Linked DNA regions of Drosophila melanogaster. The protein of the gene in region 1 purifies or fractionates together with the protein of each later gene. This does not show direct contact. Each region holds a gene or a part of one and is shown in the gene's direction. Other genes may lie near its edges. The genes, in order: Cks30A and Skp2.

Region 1 (3,678 bases):
TAAACTTTGAAATCTGCCTGCGTGAAGATCGGACGCAGCTCGTCAATGTCCATAACTACGGACAGCAGTGCATGGAGTTCCGGTGGCAGAGGTAAGCTAAATATAGATGTGGCACCCATTTGATCCAGAAGAAGTACTTAAACCAAAGCTCCCATTTAATTTACTTACCCGTTCCAGCTACATAATCAACGATTTTTTTGCGGTAGTGTTCAATCCGCCTATTTTCCGCCTCAAAGGCCATCACTCGAAGTTATGCGAGATCAGAGTGACGGTGTTCGACCGACTGGTCCACTTCCGCCGCATTCCCATCGTTCTGGAGGTGCACCGCATTCTCGATCGCGCCACCATCATAGCCAAGCAGGAGCTGGAGGAGGTGGAGTCCATCGACGATCCCAAATGGAAAGAGGACAGCTACGTGGAGCACGTCTATCTGCACCTGAACATCCGCACCAATATTAAGCCCGCTCTGGACTCTGAGGAGCTGGAACCGGGCGATAGGATCGACCCCACGGCTGGACCCGAACCCTGTAGCCAAGTTGGTCCTGGGGAAGCCAGGAGAGGCAACGGCTCGGGTGACGGTCCATCGACACCTGCACCGAACACCGAGGAGCAGCGCAAAGAGGCCGAGCGCAAGGAGCTGATCTCCCGACTGGTGGCCAAGAACAAACTCAATCCCAACGAGATCATCGAGCTCAGCATGGCCATTGATCAGCGAATAACCATTTTCGAGAAGCTATTCTGGAAGTACCTAAGCAAGTCCAAGTTCATGCGAATCAATGGTGAGCGCAAGCGGCAGAAGGTGGTCAAGACCTACGAGCAAGTGGTGTCCCCGGATAAGACGACTCCCCTGGAGGCAGCATCGGAAATTGATCGAAAGTAAGTTTTCGTGGAGAGTCTAATAGGGCATTACTTAACCAGACGACAAATTGTTTTTCACTTTGCAATATCTACTGGTTTTTGTTTATAAAATAGCCTTAAATCATAATTCAAATAATTTATTTGAAATACTAATAGATTCCTTACTTCCAGTCACATCATGGATCTGCTGTCCCGGCTGATGCAGGAGGCCATCAACGACTTGGCCAAGAACTGGGTCTTTATTCCGTCGCAGTACTACGAACGCAACCATTAGGTGTTCCCTCCGTTAAATAAATGCATTCTCCTGCAATTCGTATCCGTGGTTTTCCTGGTCGCGCGATGCTTTCCACTTCGTTGTGGGTTGTCCGCGCCGGAAATTTATGTAAGATTTCGCACGAGTTGAAAGCCGACGCCAAAAATGCTGCCGAATTTATGTGTCTGCATACGGCCTTTTAGGGCTTTTCACACAGACAGGGGGCGTGGCCGTTTGGGGAGTTTAATAGCAATGGTCAGACAACTTTACGCGAGTATTTATAACTCAACGCTTGCTTTTAGTTTGTGCGGAAAGCTTACAAGTGGTCAAATGTTCGCCCATTTAGTATCTTAATATTCGCATGTGTAGCCACAATCTTTTGGATTGCACTGGGCAATCTGTTGCAATTAATTACTGTTTAAATATAAAAACGATATTTTTTAGCAGTAAATATTTTATTAAAACTTTAGCATTAGCATCCGATATAATACAAAAATAAAAAATAAATATATATGCAAAAAAAATAGCCCTTAACCTTTTTTATTAAAATTACTTTTGTTATTGCTATGAAGTTAACAATGAGATTATTCGTACACATATTAGATAACTTCAAAATTTGAACTTCCCGCGCTTGGCAATTTTTCGATTTAACCCAAACGGTCACTCTCCATCACTATATAGCGAGTGCACCAACCCGTACTAAGCGAGAGCACTGAAATTGTATTTCCTGTAAAAAATGGTAATTTTCAATTCTATTAGTACGGTCACACTTATATCTAGCGCGTCACTTGATTTTAAAAATTTCCAAACCAAACGTAAATTCCAGCACAATAATCAACCTGAATAGTGATAAAAACCGAGAAACTCGTACCTAAAAAGCAGTTGCAGTGTTTGCCAATTGATTCAACACCACGGCTAAAGTTGCGACATCGAATCCGCAGGAGCCGCCTTCGACGGTCCAAAAAAGAGACGCCAAATTCCGCAGCGCGCACTTCGCCTTTCCATTGCATCGAAATTCCTGGAATTTCCAGGCGCAGACACGATGAGCAAGGACATTTACTACTCCGACAAGTACTACGATGAGCAGTTCGAGTACAGGTGAGTGTCGCCCTTGTCGCCCGCGACCATTTGGATGCAGAGAAGCAACTGTAAAATACCCTTATCCCACAGACATGTGGTTTTGCCAAAAGAGCTGGTAAAAATGGTGCCCAAGACTCATCTGATGACGGAGGCCGAGTGGCGATCAATTGGCGTACAGCAGTCGCGCGGATGGATCCACTACATGATCCATAAGCCGGAGCCCCACATCCTCCTGTTTCGGCGACCCAAAACGGATTAGATAACCGGCGGTAGCAGCAGCAGTAGCAACAACAACTGCATCAGATACACATACTTCGAAACCACATAGCCTGTAGCACATACCTATATATCCGGCAGCTGCTGCCGATATTCTGTATTGGCGGTGGTGGTGGTTGCTGCCAAACAAACAACCAACTGTTGCACAAACATCAACAACATCATCATCATCATCATTATCATAGGTACTCAGGAATCCCCTAGAAACTACTTATTGTGCTGTTTGTGCTTTGTAATACTCTCTTTTTACCATGTTTGCCCCGCATTATTCCCTTTTATATATATAGCACCTAGAGCTAATGATAAGTTTGCCATTTGTAATACTCTCTTTTTACCATGTTTGCCCCGCATTATCCCCTTTTATATATGTAGCACCTAGAGCTAATGATGTTTGCCATTTTCGTACACCTTAGTGCCGTTTCCGAATCATTCCTCAAGTTCGCACGAATTTTATCATACTTTATGTTGCCATTTCGAAACGGAAGCGAAAAGAAGAATTTTGCTCACTTCTTTTAAGCTTAAATGAAATCTGATTTGTGATCTTGAAATTTTTAATCAATAATACATATGTTTACACATAATATAATGAACTTAAAATAAATATTTTTAATGTATGGTGAGGCTTGAAGCGTTGATTGCTTGAAGTTTTCCCTAATCGAATTAATTTGTATGTTTCTCTTATCAAGTTTTGGGTTACAAATGGTTATAGAGAAACACAAGCGCCAGCATATATGTAATTGTGAGTGAGAAGTATTCGGATTTTATATTTCGATCGTGAGCTTCGTTTTAAATCGTGTAAGTAAACATTATACGCAATCGCCTAATTATTAGAACAACGTTTTGTTTACTGTATCTTCCCAGCTATATAGATGGATATAAATTTTTCAATTCAATATTGGCTAGAGCTTGTTCTAACGCGACCGCTTCTTAGGCCCCCCACCAAAGGCTCATCCTCATTACGAGGCATTTTCTGAATTAACTTGGGTCCATCAACACCGACCAGAATCTAATTATTCAGTTATTTATATACCACAACATAGCAACCCGATTGGTGTGCAATTTCCAACCTCAACAATCTTCGCTGGTGTGTGACTTGTGAAATTTCTAGTGTCAAAAATGAAGATCGACAGTTCCGGTCCGAATGTGTGTACTGCGCCCATGGCAGCACCTCACCTCTCCACATGAACCAGCGCTGACCCATCCGAAGGGGC
Region 2 (5,423 bases), on another chromosome or scaffold:
GTTTGCCAAGCAACTTCGTAGAGGTTCATTTGGGAATCCTTCTCGCCTTCCTTAGTACAGCATTATGGCGGTCTTGTTTTTATCGTCACATGGCGCCTCCAGGCATTGGCGGTTGCGGAGGCCGAGTCGCTGGGCGTACAACAGGATGGCGATATTCAGCAGCACAACGACGGTGGATACCACGACCAGGTAAAAGCTGTAACCAAGATAAGCCAGTCCATTGCTGTACCAGTGCTGCTGCTGCTGCTCAGTTAAAAGAACGTTGTGTATGAAATATTGGTAGAACTGCACGAGCCAAGCTACAAACGCCACTATTTGCGCCCCCGCGGCGCATATGTTGGAAGTCAGGAGCAGCATCATTGTGCCTCCTTTTTTGGCCGCAGAGGCTGACTTTAGGACAGCGGCGATGGCAGCCACAGCGCAGGCCAGCAGTGCGAAACCGGTGCCCAAGGTAGTAAGTAGCCAGAGCCAGAAGCTAGTGTCGTCATTTTCTGTCCGAACAAAGGTATACACTGAAAATACGGTGTGAAATAACAAAAGTTAAACAGGATTGCTTTAAAAATTTTATATTTTATTTGCATCTCCAAAAGCTGTTAAGCTTCCACGACGTTTTTATTCTATGTTGCATATTTGTGGCTCGCAATATAATACCCTTGCAATTTTAAAAATTGTAAACCCCAAATTTCAACCATATTATATAAAAGCAAGTAAAATATGGTTCCCTATGTCCTCGCTTCTATTATATTTTTTGCGCCAAAAATTTCAATATTTTTCAATTTTGTTAAATAGAATGTAACTTCCCTTTAGCCCTAAAGTTTGTTGTGTCACTTGATTATTAATAAGAAAAACAAAAACAATTTTGGTTTTTACAATTTAATTTTTAAGCATATCCTTAGGATCTGCAAGATAAATAAATGTAATCGAAAAGTATACATAATGGTTAATTTTTGGATATGTCTGCACTGATCATGAGTATTATTCGGGTATTTAATTTTATCAACTCGCCCGATTATGTTTGTGATCTTCACAACTAAACAAATTTAAAAGTAAATCTATTTTTAACAACAGTCTTATCCAGGACAATATCGGTTTTCAACTAATACATGCCCCAATAATCAGCACATTTTCCTAATCGTATATTCATTCAGAAAGCGTCCCAAGAAGTTTAAAGAGGCTAATTCACGATGCAGGTAATGAGAAGATCACTCTCTATCTAGTTTTCCCTGCTATCTAGGCTACTTTGATTGCTCACCATCAACCGAATTTGTGCGGACTCCGAATCCGGGATTCAGGTGGTAGTTGCCGAAGAAGAGTCCGAAGTTGAATTCACCCTTGGCGTCCGACGAGTTCTTGCGGCGTGGAGTGGCCCGCACCCAGTGATTAGTGGTCATGCTGACGAGCAAGAGGCCAATAGCCAGGCAGCTGCCAAAGAAGGTGGAGAACACTAACGCCCGTGTGTGCAAGCTCATCTTGATAATGCTCATGGAAGACCGGTGGCATATGTAGAAGGCTATGCTGTTTTCACCATTAAGAAATGTCTAGGGCCCGACTCCAGCTGCAGCGAAGAAAGTTAGTAGGAAACGTTAGTAAGCGGAGGACGCAATGCCAGTGGCCTTGCAGCGTATTGCTTACCCTTTTATGACTATGTCGGCGGGATCAATTGCAAATATAGTCTTTGTTCGCGGAACAAAAGATTGTTGCACAGGTAAACAATTAATATAAACTGTCTTGCCCTTGTTTTTTTCTCAGAAGAGAAGACTGAGCGGATATTTTTTCTCAAAGAGTACGGTAGCATTAATTTGGGATTTGGTCTGGCAACCACGGCCCGTCTAGTATATTCGATAACGATACAATTCTCATACCAAAATGGCTCGACAACCCTGGTTCCATGCAAAAATAGCGCGAAGTTTTTGTGTTTACGGCGGTGAAAAAATAGATTTCGTGTAAATATGAGCAGTCGCAAGCACAGAGGCTCCGAAAACATGGAAAATTTGTGCCCGGTGACCAGGTGAGTTTTCCTTTGCTTGGGGTGTGGGTTCAAGCAGCAGACCACTGAACTGGTCGCGTGACGTCACACGCGCCACAAGTGTCCAAAAGAGGTCAAGAAAGTAACTTATTGAATTGCAGGGTTCTTGACCCTTTCTTTCATCAGCCATTCTGCTGATGAAGCACGATCGAACTGCACACTTTTAATAAATTTTCGACTATTGCAGAAAGCGCTCGACTAATAAGAACCACGTCTCTGTTGTGGGCGCTCTAGTTTCCACTACGAAGTCATCGCACTACGAGCACCCTTCCTCGCCCTCGGCACTAACTTTTGAGGCCCTAGAAGAGATGGGAATCGGAATGCTTGATTCCGAAGAAAGCAGCTCCTCAGCCCTCTCGGCCATCGCTTTGGCGGTTAGCGCCACCAGCGACGACAACTCAAATGAGACGACCCCGTGCGCCAGTGTGTCGCGCATGGCGCACCAGCTACAGCACACGCAACGGCTAAGTCTGGGCTCTACGGGGGACATCACACTGGATAGCCCAGCTGTGGAGGATTCACTGTCGATGTCCCGTCAATCGGCCGAGAAGCTGCAGATTCTGGCGCAGGCTAAGCGCTCGTCGTTGGGTTCTGAAGGTAGCGGCAATTCAAACTCGCCCAGCAAACGTTTGCGCAACCCCCTGGCTGCAGTCACCTGTAACAACCAGATTGATGGGACTGCTTCGCTCAATTTTCAGCCATCAACCAGCAGGTTGGCGCAAGTTCGCCAGGCAAAAAAGCCCTCGACAACAAATATTACAACCCGAATAGTGGCAGCGGACAGTTTCTTTGTGTTTCGCACCCCGGCCATGAGTGCCCACATCAACAGCGGCATAAACTACTTTGAAAGACTTTCAGACGAAATACTACTTGACATCTTTAAGTGGCTCCCGAAGAAGACGCTGCTGCGCATGGCTACCGTTTGTCGACGCTTTAACCGCTGCTCTCGCGATGAGACTTTGTGGACAAGGCTAGATTTGGGTTTGCGGACAATTAGACCAGGTGCCCTCGAGCAAATTGTACGGCGGGGAGTCCTTGTAATACGTCTGGCCCAGACTAGTGTAAGTTACATCTAACATTATGTTTTCGGGAAACAAGAGCATCTAATCTTTGAACTGTAGATCCAGGAGCCCGCATTTGCACCATATACAGAAGTGTTTAGGACCCGATTACAATATCTTGACCTGAGTATGGCTTCCATCACCCGAAGCTCACTGCTGACACTATTGTCCCACTGCCGCCAGCTAAAGAAAATAAGCTTAGAGAATATTGAGCTCGATGATGACATCTGTGCAGAGATCGCAAAGAATGAAGCTTTGGAGGCGGTCAATCTGACTATGGCTAGTGGCCTGACGTCCAACAGTGTTCGCCTGATGATGGAGTCACTTACCAGCCTAAGCAGCTTAAACATATCGTGGACTGACCTAAGTGCGGATGCTGTTACGGCGTTGGTTACCCACATTTCCCCCAACTTAATTCGGCTCAATATCGCTGGCTGCCGCCGCGTTTTGTTTGACTCGCGTAAGTAGTTCCCACCGTCTTCAATGATATATTTCCTTTTTGATTTGAATTTAATTTGTTTAGATGTTGCAACCCTGCAAAAACGGTGTCCTCAGTTGTTGGAGCTTGATCTATCTGATTGCAATAGTCTAACACCAACAGTCATTACTGCAATTATGAAGTTCAAGATGCTGGAATATTTGTCCGTCTCCCGATGCTATCTTATTCCAGCAACCAAATTTATGTAAGATTTTTCCAGCAAGCGTCTGATTAATCCCTACCCAGTCATTTTCCTTGCAGTGAACTTAAGAGTATGCCCTCGCTAACCTATTTAGACATATTTGGGATGCTGTCGGACACTGCAATGGAAGTCCTTGAGAAACAACTGCCAAAAATGGGTATAAACAAATTCATTCACAGTTCGGTATCCCGCCCGACTGTTGGCACGCGACGCACCTCCATTTGGGGTCTGCGCACGCGCGACTAAGTCTCGACTCTGCTGCTTCCGTTACCATTTGAATTTGTTTTGCTGCGTAAGCCACCCGTAACGCAGTTATTTTATTCTCAATTCAACAACATAAATAATCACATTTAGCTGTTCTTATTTTTGTGCGTTTGGTCACTGATCCGCTTCGCTAAGGGGCTCCACTGGTTTCTCCCATTCCCATTCCTCCCAGTTGACGCAGTTCTTGAGACTATCCATGAATCCTGTTTCGCTGGGGCACTTGATTTCAATGGCTGGTTTGTTAAGTGTCTCACACTTCCAATACGATGTGGCATCCCAATTGTTGCGGAAAACTACAATGTCTAGCTCGGCTTGGGTCTTGCAACCCGGCTGTCCGTCACCATCATAGGCGAGGGCAATGCCAAAAGAAATCACTAGTAGGGAGGTTAGAGCGAGCTGAACCTTCATCTTTCAAAAAATGTTCTATGGTCTACTGGAAGTACTCGAAGCCTTTTATAGTTACATAGTTGCAGCGGTATAGTATCCAAGTGCAGCTACTACCAGAAAATGCTTTTATAAATTGGCATTAATGTAAACACTCGAGAGAGGAAGGAAAAGATAACAGTACTTGCCCTTGACTCCAATCTGTTCAAACTAAAAAAGGTACAATGAGTCACCCAATTTTCCATTTAAAAATTCATTGTTTTTATACTATATTAAATATTTAAGAAAATAAACAAAAAATATGTCTTTTATCAAGGAAAGCATAATCAAGCCAATTCAAAACAAAATCATATAGGGAAACGACAAATATAAATATTTTCGATCTAGTTCGTAATCATAGGTTCAAGAACAAAGTTCGTATTGGACAGCCTGCCAAATTTAAAGATTCAGCAATATAAAAGTAACTAAAGCAAGAGAGAAGGCTATGGTCGAGTTCCTCGACTATCAGATACCCGTCACCCGTGGCAACATGGGTCAACTAACTTGCGCTGGGTATTTGTCTCTAGAATCTGTATGCTTAATCTCAACCTTCTAGCTTTTATAGTTCCTGAGATCTCGACTTTCATACGGACAGACGTACATGGCCAGATCGGCTATTGATCCTGGTCAAGAATATATGTACTTCATATGGTCGGGAACGCTTCCTTCTGCCTGTTTCAACGAATCTAGTATACTCTATTACTCTACGAGTAACGGGTAGAAATATAAAATTGAAACTATTTTGAGTCATCCCTCCAATTGGTAATTTTTTTATATATTAACGGAAATTTAAAGTGCGTTACAAAAGTAAAAATTCTTTTGGTGCTAGTATGCTTAACGGGGTGGACATTTCGGCGTTTTCCACACTTCTTGGGAAATCACTTTAGACAAATTTGTACCAATGTCGGTACTTAATAGTATTTAACTATAACTTACCTTTTGCCTTTGGTGTGAATAGGCTATTAAGCC

What was found.
Region 2: the proteins of Cks30A (region 1) and Skp2 purify together in Drosophila melanogaster (affinity purification with western blotting, with the first as the bait; one study listed by BioGRID). This does not show direct contact.

Annotation. Positions count from the first base shown.
Region 1 is NT_033779.5:9,328,902-9,332,579, forward strand, and holds Cks30A (Cyclin-dependent kinase subunit 30A), read left to right. Parts: upstream 1-1,861; 5' UTR 1,862-2,153; coding exon 2,154-2,209; intron 2,210-2,281; coding exon 2,282-2,450; 3' UTR 2,451-3,080; downstream 3,081-3,678. Other genes in the region: CG17005 (uncharacterized protein), read left to right, coding at 1-91, 178-876, 1,030-1,132. UniProt on the Drosophila melanogaster protein: Binds to the catalytic subunit of the cyclin dependent kinases Cdk1 and Cdk2, and is essential for their biological function.
Region 2 is NT_033777.3:4,334,133-4,339,555, reverse strand, and holds Skp2 (S-phase kinase-associated protein 2), read left to right. Parts: upstream 1-1,881; 5' UTR 1,882-1,949; coding exon 1,950-2,008; intron 2,009-2,213; coding exon 2,214-3,087; intron 3,088-3,147; coding exon 3,148-3,547; intron 3,548-3,610; coding exon 3,611-3,770; intron 3,771-3,826; coding exon 3,827-4,013; 3' UTR 4,014-4,145; coding exon of another isoform or gene 4,146-4,439; 3' UTR 4,440-4,677; downstream 4,678-5,423. Other genes in the region: CG1103 (uncharacterized protein), read right to left, coding at 52-512, 1,253-1,484; CG14645 (uncharacterized protein), read right to left, coding at 4,146-4,439.